Elephas maximus indicus: one gene and its partners. The protein of the gene in region 2 purifies or fractionates together with the protein of the main gene of each other region. This does not show direct contact. Links are inferred from orthologs where the notes say so. Each region holds a gene or a part of one and is shown on either strand. Other genes may lie near its edges.

The links.
Region 1: the proteins of SNRPF (region 2) and DDX23 purify together in Homo sapiens (co-immunoprecipitation; 3 studies listed by BioGRID and IntAct, counting the BioPlex papers as one, with this or other methods). This does not show direct contact. The link is inferred for Elephas maximus indicus from reciprocal best matches to the Homo sapiens genes SNRPF and DDX23.
Region 3: the proteins of SNRPF (region 2) and MEPCE purify together in Homo sapiens (affinity purification with mass spectrometry; 4 studies listed by BioGRID and IntAct, counting the BioPlex papers as one, with this or other methods). This does not show direct contact. The link is inferred for Elephas maximus indicus from reciprocal best matches to the Homo sapiens genes SNRPF and MEPCE.
Region 4: the proteins of SNRPF (region 2) and CDC40 purify together in Homo sapiens (co-immunoprecipitation; 3 studies listed by BioGRID and IntAct, counting the BioPlex papers as one, with this or other methods). This does not show direct contact. The link is inferred for Elephas maximus indicus from reciprocal best matches to the Homo sapiens genes SNRPF and CDC40.

What each region holds. Positions count from the first base shown.
Region 1 is NC_064822.1:104,287,660-104,295,563, forward strand, and holds the start of DDX23 (probable ATP-dependent RNA helicase DDX23), read right to left. Parts: upstream 3,002-7,904; 5' UTR 2,911-3,001; intron 1-2,910. UniProt on the Homo sapiens protein: Involved in pre-mRNA splicing and its phosphorylated form (by SRPK2) is required for spliceosomal B complex formation.
Region 2 is NC_064822.1:161,191,563-161,198,493, reverse strand, and holds the start of SNRPF (small nuclear ribonucleoprotein F), read right to left. Parts: upstream 3,022-6,931; 5' UTR 2,892-3,021; coding exon 2,889-2,891; intron 632-2,888; coding exon 506-631; intron 1-505. UniProt on the Homo sapiens protein: Plays a role in pre-mRNA splicing as a core component of the spliceosomal U1, U2, U4 and U5 small nuclear ribonucleoproteins (snRNPs), the building blocks of the spliceosome.
Region 3 is NC_064830.1:91,844,397-91,852,197, reverse strand, and holds the start of MEPCE (7SK snRNA methylphosphate capping enzyme), read right to left. Parts: upstream 3,020-7,801; 5' UTR 1,921-3,019; coding exon 223-1,920; intron 1-222. UniProt on the Homo sapiens protein: S-adenosyl-L-methionine-dependent methyltransferase that adds a methylphosphate cap at the 5'-end of 7SK snRNA (7SK RNA), leading to stabilize it.
Region 4 is NC_064819.1:176,117,244-176,124,454, reverse strand, and holds the start of CDC40 (pre-mRNA-processing factor 17), read right to left. Parts: upstream 3,017-7,211; 5' UTR 2,976-3,016; coding exon 2,787-2,975; intron 1-2,786. UniProt on the Homo sapiens protein: Required for pre-mRNA splicing as component of the activated spliceosome. Plays an important role in embryonic brain development; this function does not require proline isomerization.

The DNA of each region.
Region 1 (7,904 bases), about 57 Mb from region 2:
GGAAATCAGAAGTATCACTGTGACTATGTTGAGAATACGATGTTAATAAGACAACCAAGTGGAGATTCCAGAAAGGTAGATGGATAAGCAAATCTGGAACTCAGGGGAGAGTTCAGGACTGGAGACAAAAATCTGAGTCTCCAAAACATAGATGATTTTTAAAGCCACGGGGCACTAAATGATAATTACTACCTAAGCAGACAATATAAATGGAGCCCTGATGGCGCAGTGGTTAAGAGCTTGGATGCTAACCAAAATGTCAGTGGTTCAAATCCACCAGCTACTCCTTGGAAACCCTTTGGAGCAGTTTTATTCCATCTCATAGGGTCGCTACGAGTCGGAATCTACTCGATGGCAACGGGTTTGGTTTTTTTTTTCTGGTTTAGGCAATATAAAGAAAATAGAAAAGGACTCAGGACTGAACTCTGGAACACTCCCACATTTACAGATCAGGCAGAGGAGGAGCCAGAGAAAAAGACTGGAAAGAAGCAGTAGCCAGTAAGAAAGGACAACAAAAAGCAACGCATGGCATCACAGAAGTCAAAAAAGTATTTCAAGGAGGGAACGGTCAACTGTGTCAACTACTACTGAGGTAGAGAAAAAAAACAGGAGATAGAGAAGTGGCCATTGCATTTGGAAAAATGAGATTGTTAGTGACCTTGACAAGAGCTGTTTTTCATTGGTATGGAGGGAAGAGAAGCCTGAGTGGTTTGAGCTGAGGAGAGAATGAGAAGTGAGAATACGAAAACAGTGAATACAGGCAACTTTTATTGTAGGTTCTACTTATCACATAGGAATCCTGGTGGCACAGTGGTTACTAAGAGCTTGGCTGCTAACCAAAAGGTCAGCAAGTCAAACCCACTAGCCATTCCAAGGGAGAAAGATGTGGCAGTCAGCTTCCGTAAAGATTTACAGCCCTGGAAACCCTATGGAGCAGTTCTACTCTGTCCTATAGGGTAGCTATGTATCGGAATCAACTCAATGGCAGTGGGATTTATCACAAGGGTCAGATAATCAGGCTGACTCTGACCAACTGCTTCCAAGTAACCTCCTATCAAACCTCTAAATCTTGGCATTCCTCAGTTCATGTAGGACAGAGGCAGATTCTTTTTTGCTTTCAATGAAGTTTTTTTTTTTTTAATAATATTATATTAAGTTTTTGGAGAAAGTTTACATAGCAGATTAGGTTCCCATTTGATCATCTCTATACAAATTCCTCAGCGACAGTAGTTACCTTTTTCACAATGTGTCAACATCCTCTTTAATTGCACCTGGTTGTTCCATTTCCAGTATTCTAGTTTCCCTGTTCCCTTATCTTCTCATCTTTGCTTTAATTGTTGATCTTCTAATTTCATACACACGGTTTTTTAATAGAGCACCATACTCACAAATAATGTCCTTTATTTTGTGTGCCAATCTGTTATTTCACTAAAAGGTGACCTCAGAGGATAGTTTCATTCAAGGTTTATAAAGGATCTCATGGTAATAGTCTCAGGGACTCCTCTAGCCTCAACTGGTCCAGTAGGACTGGACTTCTTAAAAATTTGAGTCCTGTTCTATCAGGGTTCATCTACTGTGGCCCTGATAAGAATGGTTGGTAATGGTGGCCAGGCACCATATAGTTCTTCCAGGCTCAGGGCAGATGAGGCTATGGCTCCTGCAGGCTACTAACCCTATAGATTAGTTTCTTCTCTGAGACCTTTGCTCTGGATGAGCAGAGACCAGTAGTTGGATCTTAGACCGCTGCTGGCAAGCTTTTAAGACCCCAGATGCTACTCACCTCAGTAGGATGCAGAATATGAACTTTGTGAACTATATTATGCCAACTGACTGAGTTGTCCCATGAGGCTAAGATCCTAAGCATTCAAAGTATTTGGTTACATCTGAGAAGTACCTGTAACAGTATCTTCTATGAATATGTGTGCACACACCTATCTCTATATACACATACACATAGATACTTCTATTTGTGCACATATATGTATACATCTGCACCTACCTATATACAAATGTACCTATACACCTACATATGTGATCATACACTCACTTTTTGGTTATTGTTGGTGTTGCCAAGTTACATATGTCACATTGTTTAGTATAAATATCCTTTTCTCTTGTGTGGTTCTTACTGGCATCATTTTCTTTGGTCAAGCTGTGCTCATTACACCCACATTCAGAGCTACTCTTCCCATCACCAAAAATAACAAGTATCTACAATCTAGAGAGTTATACCCGCTCAATGAAGTATTTTATCAAGCATTCCCTATATGCAAGGCACCCTAGGCACTGTGTGAGTTGCTAATGGAAATGAGGAAGACCCTGTCCACAAGTAGCTCATAGTACAACAGAAGTGAGAAGACACATATAGTGGACAGATGCCAAGATGATGGCTCAGATGAAGGAGAGTTCAAACAAGGAGTTTCCTTTCATTTGTGAGAGGGGATGTGGAAGGCTCTGTAGAGGTAGTGGCTCTTGAGTCTTAATTATAGGTAGAATTTGAAGATGTATAACTGAGGGTACGGAAAGAATGTCATTCCCAGCAAAAGAAATAATACAGGAGGTGCACAGGCAGGAAAGCATAGATTGGTTCTGGGAGAAAAGCTGGAGTTCGTTTGGCTGGAACAAGGGCTACTCGAAATATGAAGGAATAAGGTCGGATTGGGCATATCACAGGTGCTGTGTCCTTGGACGGAGGTCTGGGCCCGTAATATCGTCGACTGGCCTATGCCCCCCAGGAGCCAACACCGCCCCTGGGGCCCCGCGCCCCTTCGCCCCAGCCCACAGGACCTTCTCGGGCTCGTGTCCCTTCCCTGAGGCATTCTTTACCCCCTTGGCATGTGCCACCACCATACTCCCATTCCCGCCCTTTCTGCAAGTTCCTGGGAACCGCCTCCATCGCCCGGGACTCACCACCCTGACTCTGAACCGCCCAACGCGGCCTCAACGTCGCGAAGCAGTCGCCATCTTTCCCGTTTCCTGGTCGCGGAGGTACGCCCCCGGCCGCGCGGCAAACTGGGAAGGCGAGTTTCAGACACCGGGCAGCGAGGGCCGACAACGGGAGAATGAGAACTACCAGTCCCAGAGTGCACGGCGCGAGCGCTTGCGCCAGGCCGCGGGCCGCGGGGTCTGCTGGACAATGTGGTTCGCCAAAACTTTTGAGTAGGCTAGGGGCGGGACCCGGACGGGGCGGGGGCGGGGGCGGGGGCGGGGGGTTAGTTTTCCGACGGCTGAGTTCCCGCAAGAGGTTCTCAGCTGCGTAATCTTCCTGGAATATGATGGTCTCGTTAGAAATTGGAAATCCTGGTGGTGTAGTGGTTAAGAACTACAGCTGCTAACCAAAAGGTTGGTATGTTCAAATCCACCAGGGGCTCCTTGGAAACTCTGTGAGACAGCTCTGCTCTGTCCTGCAGGGTCCTTGTGAGTCGGAATCCACGCCACTGCAAGTTTTTGTTTTTTTTTTTTTAAATTATTAGAAACTGCAGTCATAACGACTCTCATGGCCTGTGGCTTACAGGGGAAGAATTTAAGAGTTTCATTAGATATCAACAGCAAGTACTTACAACCGTTTGTGGAGAGCCGTTTTTGCAAAAACGTGAGGTTCGAGATTATTAGCCCCGTCTTAAAGATGGACGAACTAAGGGTTAGGTTACAGGGGTAGCCTAGTATTTCACAAGAGCGGGACAGTTCTTTGTGCGAGACTATCCCACCCTTTGGAGGACTTTTTAGGCAACCCTGGTCCCTCGGGGGTAAATGCCGGTAACCTCAGCTATTGTGACAACTCAAAAAGAACCCACACATTTCAGAGTCCTCCTAGGAGGGAAGTATCCCTGGGCTGTGGTACCCGTTTTCTCAACATTCTTTCTCCACATTCCAGGTAGGACCCTCGCTTTCTCATTTCCTTGCCTTTTTGGATCTGGATCTGGGCCTTCTTGGGATTTACACTTCTTTCTTCCTCCTATTACCCCCTCTTCACTCCTCCACTGAATTCCTTAACCCCATATTATGTGCTCATTTTGTTTTTCTTTGGGCTTATGGGTTCATAATGCTTCCTCTAAAAAAAACAAAACAAACAAAACTCTTGCAACTTCTAGGATGTTTAGATACCAGGAGGTATTTAGTGCCTTCTTCCAATTTTCCCATCATCAGCTTTGTTGTCTCTATCCCGCTGGGCTGTAGTCTGGCTTTTCTCTCTGAATATGATTTCAGTTCTCTCCAAGCAAAGCCTCAGGATAGACGCAAATAATGAAATCCTAAAACCCTGAGCATCACACACAATGGCCCAAAGTAACCCTGGGATCATTGCACATTTCTGCTCTTGGAACTCTTAAGGCTTTGACCTTCTCTCCGTTTCTACCCCAGAAATAAGTGAAAGAAAAAAAGAAGCCCAAGATCTACGAGATGTGATTCACCCAGTGAACCCTAGAGGGCTCTCCACTCACAGAATGGAACCCCAACTAAATTATACCCACAGGGGTAGCCTGGAAATCTAAGAGCTGCAGCTACTGTTGAGAATCTTTTAAGTGCCGAACTCTGTGCTGCCCTAACTTATGTTACTTAGTTTACTTAGCTCTCATAGCTGTATGAGATGGGTATTATTTCCATTTTACTGATAAGGAGATTGTGGCCCAATCCAAGCCAAGCCCACTGCCGACGCGTCAATTCTGACATAGTGACCCTATAGGACAGAGTAGAGCTGCCCCATAAGGTTTCCAGGGAGCAGCTCGTGAATTCGAACTGCTGACCTTTTGGTTAGCAGCCCATCCCTTAACCACCAGGGCTCTGATCGTGGCCCAGAAAGGTTATTTAAGCCTTCACAGGCCACATAATTAAAAGAATGGAGCTAGAATTCAACCCCAGGTTTATTTGACTTCAGAGTCCATGCTCTTTCCCTGTTTCCAGACTACCATTCTTCACCATCTTTAAAGATGAGGCTATTGAGACCCAGAAAGGTGACAAAGGCTGTCCACATTAATAGTTCTCCTAGTACTTGTACACACCTCTCTCATAATACAAATAAGATCTTGAGCTTAAAGAATACTCAGTGTTGTTTGTCTTACCCTGCTGGTTCTCTCCCAAACATGCATCTTTTGAGACAGAAACAGAGGGACTGTGCCCTAGGAAGGCCATAGGCAGAGTCTCCTATTTACATATGACATGGCTAACAGTAAGGGACCCACGGCATTATAGCTAACATTGAGACCAGGTTTGAATCCTGACTGAATTATTTACTGGTACTGCGATCTTGTGCAAGTTATATGGCATTAGTTTGGTTTTTCTATTTCCTCATTTACAAACCAGGGATAATAATACCGCTTGCCTCACAGGATGAGACAGCAGAGCAATTAAGAGTATAGGTTCTGGAGAGGCTGTGGAGAGACTGCAACACTTATACACCGCTGGTGGGAATGTAAAATGGTACAACCACTTTGGAAATCAATTTGGCGCTTCCTTAAAAAGCTAGAAATAGAACTGCCATACAATCCAGCAATCCCACTCCTTGGAATATATCCTAGAGAAGTAAGAGCCTTTACATGAACAGATATATGCACACCCATGTTTATTGCAGCACTGTTTACAATAGCAAAAAGATGGAAGCAACCAAGGAGCACATCAACAGATGAATGAATAAATAAATTATGGTATATTCACACAATGGAATACTACGCATTGATAAAGAACAGTGATGAATCCGTGAAACATTTCATAACATAGAGGAATCTGGAAGGCATTATGCTGAGTGAAATTAGTCAGTTGCAAAAGGACAAATATTATATAAGACCACTATTATAAGAACTCGAGAAATAGTTTAAACAGAGAAGAAAATATTCTTTGATGGTTACGAGAGCGGGGAGGGAGCGAGGGTGGGAGAGGGGTATTCACTAATTAGGTAGTAGATAAGAACTACTTTAGGTGAAGGGAAAGACAACACACAATACGGAGAGGTCAGCATAACTGGACTAAACCAAAAGCAAAGCAGTTTCCTGAATAAACTGAATGCTTCAAAGGCCAGTGTAGCAGGGCCAGGGGTTTGGGGACCATGGTTTCAGGGGACATCTAAGTCAATTGGCATCATAAAATCCATTAAGAAAACATTCTGCATCCCACTTTGGAAAGTGGCGTCTGGGGTCTTAAACACTAGCAAGCGGCCATCTAAGATGCATCAGTGGGTCTCAACCAACCTGGATCAAAGGAGAATGAAGAACACCAAGGACACAAGGTAATTACGAGCCCAAGAGACAGAAAGGACCACATAAACCAGAGAAACCAGAGACTACATCAGCCTGAGACCAGAAGAACTAGATGGTGCCCGGCCACAACCGATGACTGCCCTGACAGGGAGCACAACAGAGAACCCCTGAGGGAGCAGGAGAGCAGTGGGATGCAGACCCCAAATTCTCATAAGAAGACTAGACTTAATGGTCTGAGACTAGAAGGACCCTGGTGGTCATGGCCCCCAGACCTTCTGTTGGCCCAGGACAGGAACCATTCCCAAAGCCATCTCTTCAGACAGGGATTGGACTGGACAACGGGTTGGAAAGGGATGCTGGTGAGGAGTGAGCTTCTTGGATCAGGTGGACACTTAAGACTATGTTGGCATCTCCTGCCTGGAGGGGAGATGAGAGGGTGGAGGGGGTTAGAAGCTGGTGAAATGGACACGAAAAGAGAGAGTGGAGGGAGGGAGCAGGCGGTCTCGTTATGGGGAGAGCAATTGGGAGTATGTAGCAAGGTGTATATAAGTTTTTGTATGAGAGACTGACTTGATTTGTAAATCTTCACTTAAAGTACAATAAAAATTAAAAAAAAAAAAAGAAAGAGTACAGGTTCTGGAGCCAGAGTGCCTGGAGTTGAATCCAGCTTCTCCCAATTTGCAGCTATGTGACTTTGGGCACGGTAACTAATCTCTTTGAACCTTGGTTTCCTTGTCTGTAAAACCAGGTAGGTAATACCTCCTAGGGTTATCATAAGGAATAAAATATAAAGAACTCTTAAGTGCCCCTGATCCACAGCAAACATTGAACAAATGTTAGCTATTATAATTTAGGTTAAATGAGAAAGTGTAGGTAAAGCCCTCAGTACAGTGCTGAGCACATAGTAAGTACTCAAAAAATAACCTAAAACCAAACCCATTACCATTGAGTCGATTCCGACTCATGGCAATCCTATAGGAGAAGGTACAACTGCCCCATAAGGTTTCCAGGGAGCAGCTGGTGGATTCGAACTGCCAACCTTTTGGTTAGCTGCCGAGCTCTTAACTGCTGTTCCACCAGGGCTCCACTCAATAAATGGTAACTTTTTATTTTTGGCACTGTACTCTGAAACTTGAGCAGCCATTAACAATGGAATCAGAAGGTCAAGAAGGCAGAGAATCAAAATATATATAAAACTTCAGTAACAACAAAAAGACAATCCAATCATCAAATGGGTAAAGGACTTGAATAGAGATTTCACCAAAGAGGGTGTTCAAATGGTCACCAAACACATGAAAAGATGCCGAAGATTGTCATTAGCCATCAGGGAGATGCAAATCAATGAGATTCCATGTCATTCCCACTAGGATGGCTAAGATAAAAAAAAAAACAGAAAATAATGTTGGCGAGGATGTGGGGAAATTGGAACCCTTATCCATTGCTGATAGGAATGCAAAATAGTTCAGCCATTGTGGAAAACAGTATGGCAGTTCCTCAAAAAATTAAAAATAGAGCTACCATATGGCCCTGCAATTCCACTCTTAGATACATACCCGAAAGACTCGAAAGCGGAGACTCAAAAAGATACTTATATATCATTATTCATTACAGCACTATTTACAATAGTCCGAAGGTGGAAACTACCTAAATGCCCATCAACCCATGAATGGATAAACAAAATGTGGTGTATACATACAATGGAATACTACCCAGCCA
Region 2 (6,931 bases):
ACTCTTTCATCAAAAACCTGGCTAAAATATTTATAGAAGCTAATTTAACAGACATGCAGTGAGTCCATCCATCCCTTTGTCTGGCCTGTCTTCCCCGTTAAGAAATGCTTTGATTTTTTAATTACTTTGGTATTGTCCCTTTAGCATTCATTAAAAAACATTTCAGGAGTTTCACTTGAGAAACTTCTTTCAGAGCTAAGTGCTGGGAAAAGTTTTGCTTTCTCCAGCATACTCTTTTGTTTCCCTTATGGCATTATGAATCAAATGTCTGAGCTCTTCTTACTTTAACCACGAGGAATCATCTGTGGCTGAACTCTGGGTTAACCCCAAGTCTTGTACCTTGTATATCAGAGTTACAGCATCTTCCCGGCCTTGACTTTATTCCTGATTTTGCTTTATATTTGTCAGTTTCATTGTATGCATTCTGTAAGCCACATTAAGACCTCTGAGGAACAAGGTGGAATATAATAAATACAATTTTATAACTTTTGTAACTCTAGCTTACCTGCATGTTCATATAGCCATCTACAGATACCAGGTAGCCCTTGTACTCCATTCCCCACTTAAGTTTCACCATCACTGGCTTTCCTGTTAATCCGTTCAGGAAAGGTTTGGGATTGAGGGGTAAACTCTGCACAAGGAATAAATAATAACAATAATAAAGGACTCAATTGATTCTTTTCCCTTAGCTTGGCTTCCACCACGCTTTCTTCTCTACCAAATCATCCACCAATATTTTATGTATCCAAGTGATGCAAACTCTTGATTCCCTTTCACTTTTTAAATTGTGAAAATTAATACATAATTTTGACTATTATTTTTTGAAAAGCACCAGGAAAATTTAAACAACCAATCAGCCAGTTTCATCTTCAACTCATCAAAACTTTTAGAAGTTTGTTATTCACTTAAGAAAGACTGTTTCAGGCTCTAAAGAAACAAAGGTGAAGACACTAAAAAAGAAAAAAAACAGCAGATGATATAGTCTCTGTCCTCAAGTAGCTGGCGGGGGCTGGGGGCGGGCGGGATACATACAGATGGACAGATGTACCAAGTGCAGATACACACTGGAGTACTGAACCAATACGGGGGAAAGGTTGCCTGAAATAAGTAATGCCTCAGTTTTAAAGGAAGAGAGGTGCTTCCGGAGAAGAAAAAGGACTGATGTAAAAGCAGCTAAGGGTGTAGCAACAAGGTAAGCTCAAACCAGCTGCCCTAGTCAATTTTGACTCGTGGTAACTGCATGCCAGGCCTTTCTTCTGAGACGCCTCTGGGTGGGTTCGGATCACCAACCCTTTGGTTAGTTGTTGGGTGCTTAACTGAAACCACCACCCAGGGACTCCTAAGGTGACCTCAGAGATATACAAACAATTCAGTGTTGTCAGAGTACCCAGACATGAGGCTACAGAAGCAAGCAGGGGCCAGAACCTTCACTTTAATTTTAGGGGCTAGGATTAGGTCTTATTTGGCTTTGTATTACCAATGCCCAGCAGCGCCTGCTACATATTGTAGGCAATCACTTAAAACCAAAAAAACCAAACCCGCCGCTGTTGAGTAGATTCCAACTCATAGCAACCCTACACGACAGAGTAGAACTGCTCCATAGGGTTTCCAAGGAGCGGATGATGGATTTGAACTGATGACCTTTTGGTTAGCATCCAAGCTCTTAGCCACTGGGCCACCAGGGTTTCACTTAATGTTTGTTTATTCAGCAAAACAGTAGAATCCCCAGTGAATTCAGACTTTTCTCCTTCCCTCATTTGCTTTCCCATCAGCTCAAAGGAAGGAAAGAACCAAGAAACCTAGCTACCCAATCCTTTTAAGATAAGCATATTCAGAGTGATCTCACAGGACACAGGATCTACTGCAATAACCTCCTAATAGGTGTCCAGTTTTCACTCATCTTTCTCCAGTTTATTAACAATACAGCAAGTATTATTATTTTTTAAGGTATATATCGAATGTCACACCTCTGCTTAAAATGCTTCAATAACTTCGAATTGCACCTGAAGTAAAATCCAAACCTACTAAAATGGCCTAAAAGGTTCAGCTCAATGCCTGCCTCTCTGACCCTATCTCATAACTCCTCTTTCCACAAGAAGCACTGTGGCTTTTGGGTCAACTCCTGGAAAATGTCAAGCTTTCTTCCCGGCCTTAAAGGCTTTGCTCCTGTTCCCTGTGCTTGGTACACTCTTTCTCCTGTTCTTTAAGGGACCGTATTTCATGTCATTTAGATGTACCGTCAAATGCCGTCTATCAGGGCAGCCATCCCTGATCACCTATCTAATGTACGAAGCATCCTGTTTGCTTCCTTCTTAGGATTATTTGTAACTGTATGTTTATTTGTTATTATTTGATCAATGCCTGTCTCCCACATCCCACTATGGGTTCACACAGAGCGCAGGGTCCGCATCAGTACTTTTCACCCACCACCTCTGGCGCCTAGAACAGTAACTGACAGGTGGATGCGCACAATAAAGATTTCCGGAACGAATACACGAATGCTTCAAAGCCTGTGCTTTGGGTTCCAGAGGGCTGCGGGCGGGGGGTCCTAACATCTTTGAATCAAAGTGGATTGTGGAGTGTGATACTCAGGAAGTGAAAATGGAGCGTCCCAAAGTCCCGCTTCATCTTTACCCTGGCCCTGTGGCCTCGGTCAGGTAGGAAACCTCAGGCCTGGGTTCAAACGAAGAAGAGCGGGAAAGAGAGCAGGATGCTGGGGAGGGGAGGGCACCGGGAGGCCCTCAAAGTCCCCAACTCAGGGAGAAAGGGACTGGCGGCGAGATTCACGGATTCTCACATGGATGAATGGGGAACGCGCGAAACAACTACCAGGCCTGTCTAGACCGGTCGCTCTCCCTCTCCGGCGACTCACGCCGTTCTCTCCTTACCATCGTGACTACGGGTGAATGGTGTAGGATCCTCGCCGCCGACCCAGCTGTTGTCCGTCCCTCGTGATCGAAGCAGCCGCTCTAGGCCCGGAGTCGCGGCACTCCAAGAGAAATGGCCGCCAAAAAGCAGCGTGACCTTTCACCTCTAACCCAGCCCGTCTGGCTTCTCTGATTGGGCACAAAGAGACGCGTGCTGATTGGAGGAGGTGGCTGTGCAGTGTCTCCTGGCAACCAGCGGCATGCTTTCCGGGCTTCGAGACCCGTGAGGAGTCTTCGGCCGGACTTCAAAGGCTAAGGGACCCGACTCCATCTTCCTCGATGGGGTGGCAGGAAAAGCCTTGTGTTGACTTCCCGCCTGGGAGATGCTATATATCGTGTAGAACGGACGTGATTTCTCGTCAACTTGGCTAATAGAGGTTTCCTTTGCTCTTTCGGCGCAGTGGTAAAGAGCTCGGCTGTTAACCAAAACGGTCGGCAGTTCCAGTCCACCAGCCGTTCCTTGGAAATCCTATGGGGCAGTTCTGCTCTGCCCTGTAGGGTCACTATGAGTCCGAATCGACTCGACGGCAGCGGGTTTGGTTTTGGGTTTTATAGTTTAAGCCAAGCAGTTCTTGGAGTTATTTATCTCAAAGTTCCGTGAGTTTTCTTTTAGTTTGATGATCATTCAATAAATATTTAGCCTTTACGCAGACTTTGAGTTCCTACTTTGGGCTAGGCTCTTTCACAGTTGTTATCATAGAAATCTTCCCAAACAGTATTTTGATTTGGCAGTTACAGCCCTATTTTAGAGATGAGGAAACAGGCTCAGCAGGTAACTTGCCCACTATTCCATAACTGAGTTTCAACCCCCAAACTCTGCTTTTTGACTTACTTAAAGCATCCTTTCAGTCATTCAATATATACCTTAGAAATCTGACTTTGCTGTTTTCTCTGTGAAGTGAAACAGTATCTTACAGTAATCTGTGTAAAGATGTTTGAAGTTGATTTTTTCTCATGTTAAATATTAAATTTAAATACCTTAAAGTCGTTGGTATTTTTCTAATTATAAATGCTGTACATTTTGTGGGGGTCTTAGAAAATACAGAAAATTCTAAAAAATAAACCAAAAGTCACTGATAATCCCACCAATCAAAAAAAAATTAACTTTTTTAATGTACTATTTATTGTAACGCATGCTGTTTTAAAAAATAATCTACATACCGTTTTGTAACTTGTTTTCTTCACTTTATATTGGGAAAATTCTCATATAATTAAATATGCTTCTGAAGTGTGGTTTAATGTCTCCATTATTCTGTTTTGTGAATATGTGATCATTTATTAATCGTTCTGTTGTTTCCATTTTCCCATTATAAATGATGTGCTTTGGACATAATTTTACATGAATCTTTGAATGTATCTCTGATTGTTTACAGTAAATTCCTAGGAGTATAATTCTTGAGTTAATAGGCATTATTATTTTCAAGGTTTTAAAATATATTTATTGCCATATTTGTATGTGGTTCAACAGAATAGCCACCAGAATAATCAGTTTTAATTTGGGGGTAATGTTGTTGTGTGCCATCAAATTGATTCCAACATATAGCAACCCTATAAGGACAGAGCAGAAGTGCTCTATAGGGTTTCCCAGGCTGTAATTTTTACAAATTGCCAGGTCTTTTCTCTCAAGGAGCAGCTGGTGGGTTCGAACCTTTGAAATTTTGGTTAGCAGCCCAATGCTTGACCATTGCACACCAGGGCTCCTCTTGGGGGAAATTTTTCGAGATGGGAAAGAATATATCTTGAGCACATTCTGAGGGAACTTTCCTCAATTATTAATTAGGATGAAACCTAGCTGTAAATAAGCGTCTAAAAAGTAATTTATTAAATGACCAAGATATATTTATTGAGGGTTTACTACAGGCTCCTAGGTGGTACAAACGGTTAACCACCTCACTGCTGACTGATAGGTTGGAGGTTCAAGTCCACCCAGAGGCTTCTCAGAAGAAAGGCCTGACGTACTTCTGAAAAAGTAGCCACTGAAAACTTCAGGGAACACAGTTCTACTCTGACGTGGGGTCACCGTGAGTAGGAATCCATTCAACAGCAGCAAGTACTGATACTGTGAACTAGGCACTCGGGGGGAATAGTGGGGAATGAAATGGACGTGTGATCTCTGCCCTCCTGGAACTTTAAAACCTTTTTTGAAGAAAGGAACTAATACATACTGAGCGCCTGCCATGTTGTACAAGGGTATTTCATGTAATTTATTTTACTTGAGGAGCCCTGGTGGCACAGTGGTTAAGAGCTTGGCTACTAACCAAAAATCGGCAGTTCAAATTCACCAGCCACTCCCTGGAAACTCTATGGGGCAGGTCTATTCTGTCCTATAGGGTCACTATGAGTCAGAGTCAATTCCACAGCGATGGGATCTTACTTAAATCCTCACAGCACTTCGTGGTAAGTATTAATCTTCCCATTTTAGAAATGAGACACATTCAGAGAGGTTAAGTATTTTTGCTCAAGGCCACATAGACTGAAAGTGGCTCCAAAGCCCAGGATTTCTCCTTTATACTTGCTACCTCTCCCCAAACTGAGTTAGAGTAGAGAACAAGTGAGCAAATACATAGAAATACCAATATGAATGCAGGGTGGAGGAAGATAGAGTTTAGGAAGTTACTTTTGAGATTGATGAGCTCTTCCTTTTATATTCTCTCCTTTATTCCCATAATACTCAATATTTTCTTTGTTTATAATTATGGTCAGAATTAATTATCATGGCCAGGATAGGCTTAAGGGGGGGGAAAAATCTGAGTTAGATCAATGGTTTATAAATGCTAGCCCCTAAACCTGGATCGCTCTGCATACAGTATTGGGACTTTGAAAACTGTCTTCGTTATTTAAAAATAAACGAACAAACCCAAAACTTAAAAAATTGTGCAGTTATCTTAATGAATACTGTATGGACTGACTAAAACCTCATGCTTTCTGCTTTTGATTAGAATGAAATCAGAAGGCAAATACTGGTTGATTATCATGGATCAGAAGCTGTAATTGACATTTATATAAATGGGAAAGTAAATTGTCAATAAATGACACTTATTCATAGATTCATTTTAGAGGGAGGGTAGATAATAAGAGAAGCCTTCAAGGCTGGGAATCACTTAACTAACTAGATGACCACTGGAAACCCTGGTGGCATAGGGGTTAAGTGCTATGGCTGCCAACCAAGAGGTTGGCAGTTTGAATCCTCCAGAAGCTCCTTGGAAACTCTATGGGGCAGTTCTCTGTCCTATAGGGTCACTAAGAGTCGGAATTGATTCAACAGCAGCAGGTTAGGTTTAGGTTTAGATGACTAGTGTTAAATATTAACATTAAACCCTTTTCAGTTCTTAGCCATATGTCCACAAGGTGGCAATGGTGTTTTGAGTAACATCTGATTGACCGCCTGGAACTTTGAAGTGAACCTCTATAAATGGAGACCTCACTGTTCTCAAAAAACAAAACGAATAAAACCTGCATCTCATGGAATTCCCCCCCCCCCCCCCCCAGTTTCCTTTGCCTTCAACCTCCTTCCACCTTTCCTCATGCCTCAAATGTCTCCATTGGACCAAATTTTAGAAATAAAGCTGGTTATTCTACCTCTTCGTCTTTTTACCCTGTTGCCAGAGGTATCTCCAAACACCCGCCTCCTCCAAAACAAAATGGAGATCTGGACATTATTGCTCTTCTGCTCACCAACCTTTCTGGTTACCCATTTCTAGCAGCCTTAACAAATCCTTGCCAGCTTTTCTCTATAGATTCATCTCTTTCCATTCTGTCCCACAAACAAAAGCCTTTCCCAGAACCACAGGCCATGTTCTTACACTTGATAGTCCCTTCACCTAAAAGTACTTTCAGCCTGGAAAATTCCTCCGTATCTTAATGTTCCTGGTCCAGCTCAAATGGGTACTTTATAACTGAAGCTTTCGCTGTCTTCCTCAGGTTATTATCCTGTCACATGGGCCTACACAATCTTATCTTGTTTTAACACTAATTGTACTCTATTTTATGGAGCACTGGTGGCA
Region 3 (7,801 bases), on a different chromosome or scaffold from region 2:
AGGCTGGACATAGCCCAGGCTGGAAGCAGGGCAAAACGAGTCAACCACTGTCTTGGGAAAGAGAACTGCAGTCAGGAGAAAGGACCCCAGGTTAGAGACCCCACCTCTCCCAGGTTACAGGCAGGGAGAGACACCCAGTGGAGGCACTCACTCGCTAATTCAGACCCTTCTCGAGGATCTGGTTCTCCTAGTGAGGAGTTAATGCACTTAAGACCCTCTTACCGTGACGAAGACAACATTGTTGGGGAAGACTGATGTGTCCGCTCCATCCAGGGGCACTTGGGGTGCAGCAATGGGACCTCGGCTGGCTGTCAGCGAGGCTGGGAAGCAGCTTCTCTTCCGGATGGTGGTGGTCCCTTCCCCACCCTCTGCCCCTGGGTCCCCCTCGGGAGTCTGGGGTGGGAGACGCAGCTCCTCAGATAGGTAGTGTCGGATGTTCTGGCGGGCAGAGTGGATCAGCCGAGCATCGATATCCAGGCCCACCATGCGTGATGGGCCCCACTTGCAGGCAATGCTCAGGGTCAGATGGCCCACATTGCAGCCCAGATCTAGGACGTCCCGGCCCCGAAACCACTCAGGCTTCAACACCCGAAGGCGACCATCCTCACAGGAAGGATTGCGGTACCCATAGTATTTGCAATAATTCCCATACTGGAACTTGCGCTGTTGCTTTTTGAAGCCTGCTGCAGGGAGAGGGTGGTGGTGGTAGCGGCCTCCCCCACTCCCTCGGCCCTTTTCTTTGGGACCCTGGCCTCCACCCCTGGCCCCTGCCTCCGACTTGCTGGAAGTCCTGCGACGTTTGCGATGTCGAGAGGAGGAAGACGGGGGTGCAGGGGTAACTGAGGCAGCTGGAGGGACTGAAAGGGAGCCTGTGGAACCCTGTAGGGCAGTTGGAAGGGGAGACACCACCTCATCCCTGCAGTTGATGGCTGTGTTGAGTTCATAGGGCTGCGGGGCATCCCGGCTCTGGCCTCTATGCCGTTGCTGCTGCTGCTGCTGCTGCTGCTGCTGCTGCGTGGCGCCCTCCCCATGAAGTGAAGGAGTGAGGGGGGCTGGGGGAAGCACGGAGGAGTGGCTATCATTTCCTCCAGATGCCTGCTGCTGCTGATGGTGCTGTCCCCGGTGTCTATGCCGCTTCCGACCAGTCTTGAGTGGTGAGGCAAGAACTACTTGGGCCTCATCAGTGCAAGTATTGAGACTGAGGGGGTCAGTAATATCTTTGGGGATGAGGATCTCCACTGGATCACGCCCCTTGGCCGGAAGTGGGGATGACTTAGGGGTCTCTGCATTGAGTGCGCGGCTCACTTCCTCATCCAGAAGACTATTCAGGTTCAGTGGATCAAAGATATTGCCCCCCAGTAGGAAGTTGGAGGGTAACACAGAGTCACAGTCCGAATTAACTCGCCTGCGCCTCTTGAAGGCCGGATGTTTGAAGCCTCCGCCACCTCCCCCCACATTACAACTATTTCTTCTCTTGCCTCCACCCCCCCCAGGGGGCCTGTGGGGCTGGTAGCCATTACGAGGCCGAGGAGGGGCAGGGGTACACAGCTCTGGCCCGCCCCCTCCCCGTCGCTCCTCCCCCACGTCCAAGTGAGCGGTCCGCCCGTGGGGATCCGACAAGCGGGCCTCCCCGTGAGACTGTGCCTGGGGGCCGCCCCCTCGCTGCTGCTGCTGCTGCGACTGGCCCGCTCGAGGGGCGGATGCAGCTCCGGGGCTCTCCCTGCCAACCCCTAAAGCCGGGGCCCCCGCCGACTGTACGCGGGGGCCCGGCCCGCGTTCTGTCCGGCCGCGGAGGTGCCCGGAGGCGGCCTCTCGGTGCGATTGCACCGTGGGGCCGCCCCCTCCGCTCGACTCATCTTTGAGCGGCGGCGGCGGGGCCGGCACCAGAAACGGCTCCTTCTCCGCTGCCATCTCGATCATTTCCTCCCCTTACTCCGTCCCAGCCGAGGGTAACGAGGGGGGATCAGGGGGCTTCACCCCCCTTCCTAGACCCTGCTCCCTTCCCCCCTTTCCCGAGTGCGCACGCAGCTCTGCTCTTCTCGCCTAGTCTCGCTCCCTGCTCGCCCGCGAGACCAAAACAAGAAGCCCGCGAGACCCGAACTCGAGAAACCAACCGCGCTTGCGCCGACCCCTTTCTCCTCCACCACTACCACCTAATCGCGAGCGCGCACTACTTAAGCGCGTTCCCCTGGCCCCAGAATCACGCATGCGCACACCGCCACCACCCTGGTTGCGCGCGCATCGGAGTACGAACCAACTTAACGGCTCCAGGGAGTTTAAATATAGTCTCTCCCTTAGCCCCCCAAAAACCCACCGCCCCAAGCTGACACCCTACTTCCCTTCGTGGCTATGTCCGTCCCTACTGATATCCTTTGTCTCTGCCGCGCGATCCCACCCACCGTAGGCGGGGGCCGGGGAGCTGGTGTGAAAAGGTCTCCTTCACACACGACCCTTGTTCCTGAGGAATGAGTCTCAGCGGTCTCCGCCCGGCGCTCAACCCAACAACCTCCCCACCCCGCCTCCTTCCTCCCCTAGTGAGAAGCGCCTGCGCACACCCTTTTGGGCTTGCGCGGGTAGAAGCAGCACGTGCTGGAGACGACACCCCGCCCTCCGTCCTATGGGCGGGGACTGTTACGTCGCTTCCTCAGGTTTGGGACACGCAACGTGCGTCAGCGCAGCTCGGAAAGGCGTGGCTTCTTAAGAAAAGGGGCGGGCTCATGAATTATTCATAACGAATTGCCCCCTTAGCCCATCCCCTTAGGGCTTCAGAGGGAGCCGAGGAGTGAACCTAAAGGTAGAGGAAGGGAAGGATCGGAGTGTACTGATCGCCTTCCTACGAACTGTTCTCAGTAATATGCAATAGATCATTTTAACTCACCCCCCTCCCCCGAAAATACTCTCTGCTGGACTGAAAAACAACACTAAAAAAGCCAAGGTTTTCCAACTTCCTCCTGTGCCGAAATGGCTGAGTGGTTCTCGCTCCTCCGCGTTCCCCCAATCGCGATCACCTAGGTACACCCCGCCCTCCTCTCCGCCTCCACACCCACAGTCCGGACACCAACGCCCCCGCCCGCCATCCGACGCCTGCGCACGAGCCCACCAGCCCGACGCCCACCACAGCCACCAATAGCAGTACACCCACCAATAGCAGTACACCCACCAATAGCAGTACACCCACCAACACCACCTCGCACGCAGTCCTTCCCAAACGCACGCTGCGGCTTCGCGCCGCCTTATATAAAAACGTGTGTGGGCGGAGAAGAGGAATCGGCCTGCTTTGGGGCCCCTTGTCTCGGCCAATGAGGGAAAGTTATTTGACGCTCTTTCCACAGGGTGATAGGTGGCCCGTTTTCTTTCCCAACAGAGTGCTTGGGGATGCAGGTCTTATGGCTGAGAAGAGGCGGAGAGTGGGGCTAAGGATAGGCTGAAAGTGTTAAAATAAGGTCGTGAAGGGGCCTAACAGGAAGAATAGGCATCAGGAAAAGCAAAGAAGAAGGACAAGGCAGAGTGGGAAGGAAAGATAATAGAAGAAAGAAGTGTTTCAGGAACAATCAGGCGCTGCTACCGCCTCCTAAAACACGGGTGAAGCAGTGAGCATTATGGGACTTGTAGTTTTACAGATTGGAAAATGGCGGCAATAATTCGCGCGCAAGCGCAGAAGCCGTTTTCAGCTGCGCATGCGCTTCGGCCTCGTGAGCACGCCGCTGGGGGGGTGGAGCTTGTGCGCGTCCTCGCGCCTTTTCTTCGTGGCGGGAAAACTGGATCCAGGTTGTAGGGGCTTGCATAATCGCTGCAGGTGCTCACTCTACTGCTTGCTTTTAGGTGCTCCTCGCTCTAGAAGGTATTAGACTCTTCTTAGGTTGCAGATGCAGTTGCTAGGCGCGGGCGATCCCAGTACCTGTTGTCTGAGGAGAAGCTGTCTCTTCAGGGCGACAACCAGCTCTTACCCCTCCGCTTTAGAATCTAACTTGAACCTCACCCTCAACACAAACAAAAATGCCACAGTGTAATGGGGGGCAACGACGATCTGAGCGGGAATAAGAATCCTGATACCTCAGCAGTAGGGTTAGCTGAGGAGAAATTCCCTCCTGGTAGGATTCTTGATGTGGAAGAGAGGCTAGAAAGCCACTATACAGTACTTTCTGAGGAGAGTTAAGGATATTTAACTGTGCGATATGTCAGGTCTTCATTGCTGTCCCTGAGAGAAATTGGTGAGGCGAGAGAGCAAAAATACAGATCCTTCAAAGTTCTTGTCTTTGGTTTCTCAAGGGGGAATTAGGCATTTTCGGTTCCAAACCTTGACACCCTCTGAGGGGCAATGGTGTGGGGATCTGGGAGTTTTACGGGGATGTGCTCCTTTAAGTACAACAATGCTAGTTTGAGGTCGGTACCAGTTTGGGAAATGTGTGCGTCTGTGGTAGGAAGAATATAAAAGATATCAGCAGTCCCCGAAAGATTCTTTTGGTGATAAGTGGCCATGGTAAGTGGCCATGTCTGTGCTCTCTTGCACTCTCTGAATCAGGAGGTTTTAGTTCACCATTAATTTCTTTATAAGATTCTGTACAAAGTTTAGTTCAGGCAGGTACTATTAGATGCGACAGTAAATACCTTGTTACATGTATAATGGTCAGTAAGGGTAGCTGGAATCTTTATTGTTTCTTTTTCTTTCTTGTTAAAAAGTTTTGTTTCAGATCATGCCTGTTGAGCACAAAAAGAGATAAAAACCAGTACTAGTTATCCAGGCATGAAAATAAGCAGGAGTACACATGCCATTAGACATACAGGCTGAAGAAAATTAGACTCAGGCTTAAAGAAGCTTTAAATATAGGCTTTTCTTTTTTTTTTTTTTAATGTCTTTTAGGCTCTGGAGTGTGTGTTAGAGGACAACTCTAAGGTTTACCTTTGTTCTTTTAGACCCAGGATTCCAGACATAATATAAGGAGGGAACAGTTTTATTGTTTGTAAATTTTGAGCACATTCTAAATGGGGTAGAGGAGGATTAAAGTTTTTTGAGAAATGTTGCAAGACTGAATTATTTAGCTAGAGCAATTCTCAAACTTTTTGGTCTCAGAACCTTTTTGTCCTCCTAAAAATTGTGGAGGACTCCAGAAAGCTTTTGTTTATATGGTTTATAACTATTCGTATTGAAATACTAGAAATTAAAATAGAAAATTTAAAAATATTTACTTAATAATTAATTTAAAAATAACAATCATAAGCCCATTAACCAAAAAGGAACCAAACCTGTTGCTATCGAGTTGATTCTGACTCATAGCGACCCTATAGGACAGAGTAGTGCTGCCCCATAGGGTTTCCAAGGAGCAACTGCTGGATTCGAACTGCTGGCCTTTTGGTTAGCTGCCTGGGGTTGTAACCACTGCACCACCAGGGCTCCGTAAACCCATTACATGTTACCATAATTAACATTTTTAATGAAAAATACATTTTCCAAAACAAAAGAAAATTTAGTTTGAAGAATGGCATTGTTTTATATTTTTGCAAATCTCTTTTGTGTCTGCCTTATTAGAAGACAGCTGGATTCTCATGTTTCCGTATTCAACCTGACATCTTGTTTTGGTTGAAGTATATGAGAAAATCCAACCTAACACAGATATATAACTGGAAAAGGGAGGAGTCTCCCAGGGGTCTTTGGACCGTACTTTGAGAACCGCCACGCTAGGTGATTTCATTTAGAAATGAATGTGATAATTTTTAGTGTTCTAAGTGAAAGAAAGCTGTTTCTAGTTTTTGGAGAGCCTCATTCACCCTTCTTTTATTATTTCTTTGTAAGTTCTTTCCCTCTGCTTATTCACCCTCTTTTATATGTCGAGTGGGTGAGATTGTGTTTATGGAACTATCCTGGTTCTTTTACTTTCTTACATAAAGCCTTGTTGAATTTTTTTGTTTCCTTACCTTTTCATCTAAGGTGAGAAAACAAATTAAAACCTCAAATGTTATTCCGGAGTCTAGTGCCTACAGTCATTTTGTATATTTGTCAACTGTCTATTTTTTCTCTCTCTCTCTATTAGCTTTTAATATTTGTTATTGTGGAAGAATTCGTCTGAAACAGAGGAACAGTGTCAGAAAGTGACTCTCTGGCTTTCCATTCTCTTTGGATCAGGTTAGAGCTTTTCTTTAAAAGTAATGTTCTTCATCATACCCCCAATCTAGATTAAGGGGTAGTGCAAATGGTTAATGCAGTAAGCTGCTAACCAAAAAGTTGGAAATTTGAATCCACCCCGAGGTGCCTTGGAAGAAAGGCCTGGCAATTACTTCTGGAAAACCAGCCATTGGAAACCCTATGGAACACAGTTCTACTCTGATACACATGGGGTCGCTGTGAGTTAGAATCAACTCAAGGACAACTTTTTTTTTTTTTTTCGGTATAAGAAACAAAATGTTTATTGCAAGGATTCAGAAGAATCTCACAGAGACCAAAAGAAAGAGACTGAAGTGTAGTTGACCTCAAGAGAGCAGAGACCAGGGACTGGGAGCCAAAAGTGTACATTCACTCTTATTTCCTCTCATTCTGTCCCTCTTCTGTCTCTCATCCTCTCTTCCCGCATGCTCCATTCTCCTTTGCAGTTTGTCTTTCTGCCTGTTCACTTACACGTGCATGTATGGCTCCATCTCTTCTGACCCTGCATGATCTACTTGACCACACTGCTCTTCACCTGTTGCCTGGAGTTCCCAACAATAATAACTCTAGTATTCAATTTTGCAAATTCTAAATTCCCAACAAAGTACTCTAATTAGTTGTACTCATGTTTTCAATGAGTTGCCCTTGGGTCAGGTGTAGACACCCCATCTGATCAGGTAAGGCCACATGGGAGTGAGGTCACATGGAATCTAACAGATGACCAAAAGAAACTGAAATGCCATTAACATTTCTTGTACAGTGAGAAGAAGGATTAGAGAGAGAATAGAGATGAAATAAAAACAGCAAACTAGCTGATAAAATAAATCTGCCTGTAGTCTCTGTACAGCCAACCCTCTATAGATTTTCTAAATCTAAGAAATTGGATGTCCTCAAGGGCAACTTGTTATTATTTTTTTAATTATACATCACTTCTTATAGATTTACTACATCTTATTAATTCAACAACGATCCATAATTTTATCTAGTTCGTTGGGGCTCCAGAAGCACACTTTAGCCTAGATAGGTCTGTACAGGATTAGATAAGATTTTGAGCCTAAATATTGGAAAGTTTTGCATTTTAGGTTGATTAAAATACTCTTTTTTTATTTTACTTAAAGAATTTAAAATTTAAAAAGTCATTTTTTGAAGTGGTAATGTATGTATGTTATAAAATGCCAAAGATACTTAGGGGACACAGTGAAAAGTTTCCTTCTACTCTGTCCCCAGCCACCCAGTTCCACTCCCCAGAGGCACTTTTAACAGTTTCTCATGTATTCTTCCAGTGATAGCGTATAGATATGCAAGTGTATTGCATAGGTATATATTTAAAAAATCAAATATTATAATCTCAAGCATACTAATTTTCATTTTGCTTTTCCCAGTATAGCTCTTCTAATTTAGATTACCTTCACAGGGGCTTCTTTTTCTTGGAATTCTGGAGTCCAGGATAAGATATGTTTGTCATTTGTGGAGGAGCCCTGGTGGCACAGTGATTAAAGCACTCAGCTGCTAACTGAAAGGTTGGAGGTTCAAACCCACCCAGCCACTCTACAGGAGGAAGATGTGGCAGCCATAAAGAAATACAGCCTTTGAAACCCTATGGTGGTAGTTTTTCTCTGTCATGTAGGCTTACTATGAGTCAGAATTGACGGCAATGGGTTT
Region 4 (7,211 bases), on a different chromosome or scaffold from region 2:
TATCCTCTTCTGAATTTGGCTTGAATTTCTGGTAGTTCCCTGTCAATATACCGCTGCAGCTGCTTTTGAATGTTCTTCAGCAAAATTTTACTTGCGTGTGATATTAATAATATTGTTCAACAATTTCTGCATTTGGTGGGATCACCTTTCTTGGGAATAGGCATAAATATGGCAGAGAGACTAGCATGGGCAAAATCTTGAGGAGGGTGGGAGAAAAGAAAATTAGGCTTTTGGGGCTTTGTAAAGAGTTCAGCATGAAGCATGGCAGGTTTCATATGCTACGTAAGGAACTTGATTTTACCCAGTAGGCAAACATGGTGGCTATTGGGGAGGGATGAAACTGAAATTTAGGAAGATCACTCTGGGTGCACTGTGGAGCAAGGAATGTGAAGGAGGAAATAGAAAGGCAAGTTATGAGTTTATTATAATTGACCTGAAGGGGAATGATAAGAATCTAAACTGAAGAGTGGCATCAGAAAAGAGATTTGGTAAATACTAATGAATTATGCTGACTAAAAAGTTGGCGGTTTGAACCTACTCAGCAGCTCCGTGGGCGCAAAGACCTGGCACTCCGCTTCTGTAAAGATTACGGCTTAGGTCACATAGGATTGCCATGAGTTGGAATCCACTCAACAGTACAAAACATCAACAAATGAGTTACAATGGCCAGGTCCCACGATTCAAAAGTAGCGCTGAGAGAAAGAAAAGTAAAAAATAACTCCTGGGAGAAATGAAGATCATATGAAGTGAGAGTAGAAAATTAATGAAGCAGAAATGTTAGAATCCGCTGAATGATGAGCTTCAGGGGTTGAGGAAGAAAAGGATTACGGCTCTGTTCCTGGTTTGGACCCATGGGTGGGTTGTAAGGTCAGTAGTCAAAAAGGGAAAACAGGAAAAGAGTAGATTTTGATGAAAAGAAAATGTGTTAATATTTGAGCACATTGAATCTGAGGCGCCTGACAGCCATCCCGGGAGAGATGTTTAGTAAGATTCAGCCAAAATCTAAGGCACGGAATGCTTATGTAACTTATGCAAGGTTACTATTTGGTAATTGCTAGAGACAGGATTTGAATCCTAGCAGTCTTGATGCCACCACAACCCACGTTAACCACTTTATAGCGTTCATCTGTAAGTCATCAGAGTATAGAGACAGAGGCTGAAATCATGGAACAGTAGGTGGAGTGCAAAAGGAACTAAGGACGGAGCCTGGGGAAACTCCAATATTGAAAGGGGAGACAGGTCAGTGGCCCTGAAGACTGAGGTTGGCCCCATGGAAGCCAAAAGGAGAAAAACTTACAAGAATGATGAACTATTATTTAAGAGTCACCTGATGCAGCCAGGTGACAGAATTTGACAATTACAAGGCTTCTGATTCTAGATTACTCAAGGACAGTAGTTTCCCGAGAGGCTAGGGCCAGACTCTGATTGAAAAGAAAATGAGATGAAGTGAAGAGAGGGAGTGCAGCTCCCTCTTCCAAAAAGCTAAGCTGTTGAAGGAATGTCACCTCAGGAGGTTGCCGGAGGAGTATGAGTTTAGCGAGTGTTGTTTTGTTTTAGATAGAAGAGCTTTAAGCATTCTTTCATGCCAGATGTTCATTAATAAAAAATAAAATTCATAAATGGCTTACTAAAACCCTGTAAAAGACTTACTATATTGGTTTGAAACATCTTAAATACAAAGGAATTTTTGCACACTGCCTTCCCTTTCTATATCTTGAGCTTCTGATCACCCCATCAGGCTCTACTGGGTCCACATTGATGGATGTTTTCACCAGACTCCCACCACATGGGTCTTTCTTCTGTTCTTCATACATGCCAAGCTCTTTGCCATCTCAAGGCTTGCCATCCCCTTTGCCTGGAAGCTCTTGTCTTAGCTTGTACATAGCTGGCTTCTTGTCTTTCTTCAGGTCCAATCTTTTGAGAGAGACCTTCCCTGACCAACCTATCTCAAGGCATATTCCTATCTTATTTTCTACCATAGTACTGCATGGTTTCTCTTCTGAGTCCAATCTATAACCACTTCATTTGCTCATTTTTTATTGTGTCTCTCCCACTAGAATGTATGGATCATGATGGCAAGGATGTCTGGCTTGTTCACCTGAGTCTTCAGTCCTTAATACAGTTCCTGGCAAATAACAACGTGCTCAGTAAATATGTTGAATAAACTTAATAACCGAACATCTCCCTCTATTACTTCTTCCATTGCGATCATGCACACTGTTTCTTAAATTCAAGGTCCTTTTCTAACATGTAATAACATACATAATAAAAAAAAAATACCTAATAATTACTGAACTCTCACTGGGTACCACGCACTGTGCTATTAGCTTTATTTGTATCGTTTCACTTAACCTTCAAAATAGTCCTCTCACATATGTAAGTGCTGTTACAATTACCTTCGCTGAACAGACAAGGAAACGGGAGGTTGCATAATTTGCCCAAATTCACGCATTTTAGTTTGGGCAGTTCTGATGTAGCTTTACTCATACTGAGATTGTACTTGCTCTATCTAGGCCACGTCCCAATCCATAAATTCAAATTTCACCGCTTCCCCCCACCCCACTTTCTCAACTGCTTTCTTAGGGCAGGAGATAAAGGCAGGAAACAGTGAAAAAAAATTCCAGTTCTCGATTTCTCTCCAGGAAGACGCATATAGGGAGAAGAAATCCAAGCGTTAGCAATTTCTCTTTCAGTAGTAAGGAAGCGGTAACTCCGGGCTTAAGGAGCCTTCGCGGCTGCCGGGTTTGGGACAAATCCCGCACCGCAGCAGCGGCCAAAGTGCTTACCTTAACTGCCACCTCCGGAGCCGAGTCCACCGCCACTGTCAGAGAGGGCTTGGCAGAAGGCGATTTAGTCAAGTGCATGAGGGAATCGGCGGCTGGCAGCGAACACCGTCCACCCTCACTGTCCGAGTCCGATTCGGACCCTGAACCCGAACCATAGGAAGCAGCCAAAGCTGCAATCGCAGCCGACATGACGGCAACAGATCTTCTGCCGAGACCAGGCCCCGGCGGAAGAAGTGGCACGCAGGTCCTGACAGATTACCATGGAACACATTATTTACCTCGTTTCGCTAAGAAATCATTTATAACATTTTAAAACAACAAATTAATTATTAGTATAATAACCACAGGAGAAATAAAAATTTGGAAACACTTATCTAGAGAAACAGAGACAATTAAATAACTTATAGCTTTCAGGACCTATTTGACTGACTCGGAGACTACCAGTTCCGAAACACCTTGAGGCCTCGAAGTCCTAACTCCCGGCGTGCCGCGCGGCAGGAAGTGGGAGAAGGTACAATGGGAAGTGTAGTTTGGAGTGAGGGGGCGGGGCGCGGAGGGCCGTCCTCTCTCGACCCCGCCCCTGAATAGATGGTTCATTCAATTGGCTATCATCTTCCCTCATTCCCTAGCCAAGCGCTGTTCTCTCCGTCCCCCTCCCCCAAACTGAGGATAGGGCAATACCATACATCCTCAGGAAAGAGGGGAATAGCGATTCTTACCCCCTAGTGATAGGTGAGTGGGCGGAGGCTGAGTTTCCCACAAGGGCTACACCTGGGCGCTGGAGACTGAAGAGGAACGTAAGTCTTAAGTTCGAAGACCTTTATGGGCGGGGAATAGTTCCTGGTGGGAAGGATGGAAGGTTAGATGGATGAGAGTCCAGCCGTCCCCCCTGCTTCTGGCGCGGGTCCCCTCGCCCGGTTGTGGAACGTCGCGCGCGGGGAGGGGGCGGGTGGGGGGGGCGGCGGCGGCGGCGGCGGCGGCGGCGGTTCGCGGTGTTGTTCGCTGGCGCGTCGGGCACACGTTGAGTCCGGCGACCGGCGGACGCCGTAGGCGGCAGTCCCTGTCCCTCTTAGCCTTAGCCGCTGCCGGGAGTGGGTTCCGCCCCAGAGCCCGACATTCCTGGGCGCTCCGGGTGGAGTCCAGGGAGCTCAGCGACTACCGTCGAAGCATGAAGAAGGGGTAAGCAAGAGCCCCCTTAAGATTTCACGGTGAGCGCGAGTCTCTCAGGAATTGCCCTTTTTTTTTTTTTTTAGAGGGTGGGGGTTTTGGGGGTTGCTAGTAGAGGAGCTCCTCAGCATTCGGAACAGAGAGAGGTGTGTGGGGATCTCTAGCCCCTCAAAGGTTACGGGGATGGGCGCGCCTGCCCCCTGCGATGGTCCCCACCCCCACTCGTGGGTTCCCGATCTCCCGCCGCCCACCCGCCCGCCGGGCTGGGTGCTGAGGGAGACGGCGGCGGGCGCTCCTGGGTCTCGGTTGCAGGGGCCGCCCTGGGGTGCTTTAGGTGAAGAGACTGCGGGTCTCACCTGAGGTGCCGTCGCCGGAGCTCCCCTGGCCACCTGCACCCACGGCCAGACCCCGTGCCTCCTAGCTTTGGGGAAGGCTGCAGCACTGGGTCGGGGAGAAGCCCCTGCTGCCTCTACGTTTCCGCTGCTCTGTAAAGCAAGCTTGTGCGTTTGCGTGTTTGTGCCGCTCGTCTGTGTCTAAAGACATAACGGTAAAGCGAGTGGGGGACCCTTTATTCGTTTGAAGAGGATGCGAAACGGGGCAGGCGCCTCGGCAGGGTGTACCTCGGGCAGAGTTAAGGAGCTGCTCGCTCAGCTCCGATGTCGGCAGGACTCGCCCATTGTGCCACCCAGATAATTATTCAACTATGCAGCATCCGTTGCACCTTTCCCATTTTTCTTTTCCCCTTGCTACAGCATGCCCCCTAGCTTCGGCGCCCTGACGCCTTCTCTTGCACTTGAGGAACTGAAATAATGATGAAAAGACAGCACATCTGACCTGAACATTCACGACCTGTCCTATAACCGATTAGTTAGTTAATCCCTAGCTACACTAGGTATTTTAACATGGCTCAGTTTAATCCTATCCCTTTCTATGTAAGATGTGCATTACAATATACTTTTTTTCTTTAGTGTTAGATTCACGTGCTGGTTAAATCTTATTTCTGTTCAGCAATTGATTTATTGCTTATTCAGTACGTCTTATTTAACGTACTTTATTTTGGATGTTAGGTAACTTCCATTTTCTAATTGTTGATAGCACTACATTTATCCTATTTACAAGTGCAGTATTTACGAACACATGAACTCTAACAGTTTTGTTGTATGCTCCAAGCTTCTTTTGGGAAAAGTTTTTTTTTTTTTTTAATTTGTCAAATTTGTGAATAAGGTATTTGATACACAATTTCTCTAATTTTGATTAAGAAAAGTTTTGTATTTTCAGTAGGAGGATATTTGATTGCTAATAGTTTCCAGTTGAATGAAAGGGAGGATTTAATATTTAAGATGGGATTTTAACTGCCGTATTGAACGTTCCCTAATTTACTTAATTTTTTTTTTATTCAATTCTTTTCTTTGGCAATGTCATGCATTTAATTACTTCTTACAGAATTTACCGTTATTTTTCTAACTTCTGTCTACAAGGATGGATAGGCTTCTTTTTATGTGATCTACCTGAAAGATGAAATATTTTTTGAAACTGTAAGAAACAACTGTTGGTTACTTGATGATTATGTTAAAAAAAATATACATGTTGTTATTTAAAGTTTTTCACTGCTCCAAAGTGAGTGTTTTTATTTTCTTAGTCCTCTTTTTCCAGCTTTCATTGTTTAATCTTGTTGAATTAATCCTTCACACTTCTGATAAAATGAAATTGTACATAGGTATTGCAGAGGCAGTTCTTTTAAGGTACAGTAAATTGTTTTTTGGCACTTGGAAGTGGCAAATGTATAATAAAACTTGATGGTGTAGGCTCAGGTTCTTGGTTAGGAAATGACCTTGCAATTTACAAAATGGACACCTTTGTGCCTTGGTTTCCTTACAGGTAAATGAAGATAATACTGATTTACATGACTAGATAGTGTGAATAAATTCAGTAAAGATGTTTTCATAATACATTTAAAGAATATTTGAATATTTTAGTTGATGACTAATGAAAATAGCTCAGTGTAAACTGCAATGAAAAATGTCATAATTTTCCTTCATACATTGGAATGCCTCATTTACGTTGAATTTTGCTTTGGAGAGGAATGGCTCTAAAATGAAGGGTGTTTCTCATCCATCAAGAGTTTTTTTAGGTTTACTGATCTATGTGAAAATAGTTAATATTAATGAAAAAATTATATGACTTGGTAATGAAACAAGTAAAACATTGAGTAAGTTTGTGAAAGATAAAATTTATAAAAAATCTTAAGATCTTTTTCATTGCAAATTTTTCAGGTTAGAAAATCCAGAATACGTAGTTGTGATCATTTGTAAGGTATGATATGGAGCTACTGTTTCTGTTATTCAGGTTTGTAAATAACCGTAGATTCAGAGACAATGTGTTAATATTGCATAAGGCTGTAACCATACATTTTACTTTATCATAAGAATACTTTATGAAATCCTTTCTCTTTGATTTTCATTACCACAGTAGACAGGAGTACTTTAAGATATCTTTTCTCAGTGTTTGGTTTTTATTACTATAGAAGATAGTAATTTTTGATTTGCTTATTGAAGAATTTAACTCAATTTTCATAGCAAAAACTACTATTAAAATACTACATTATAAGTACTTTTACCAAAAGTGTTTTCAGTTACCTAATGGGAAAACTTCACATAAATAAGACTATTAAAATGTGTCTTTAAAATTACTACTTGTAATTTCTTTTTTGTGAATTAATTTAGATTTATCAAACAAATTTTAATTTCTGGAACATCATATAGCTTTATCTCAGAGAAGAGAAGGGAAGAATGTATTTGGGGCTCTCTGAACTTCACTTACCTCTTCAGATATAGTTCATAATTACTTTACCCACACATTTTTAAAAATAGCACTAGATACTGAATAATGTAAAAATAGGCAACTTTCACTTGTGGAATGATATTAACAGTTTTATTCTCACCCCTTATATCTCACTTCATAAAAATGTACATTAATTTTTTTGTTTTACCCAAATTTGATCAATATAGAAATTTGTTTCTTTTTTGACTTATCTTATTTTCAAGCAATCTATTAATAAAAATATGTATGTTAATTAAATCCTGTGTTAAATGTCTGAATTGTTATTGGCTGCTGTTGAGTTGGTCCCCAACTGATCAATAGGGTTTCCATTGCCTGATTTTTGGAAGTAGATCACCAGGCCTTTCTTCCTAGTCTGCCTTAGTCTAGAAGCTCCACAAGCCTCCACTTATAGACTAGTGGTGGTTACAAATGAGGTGC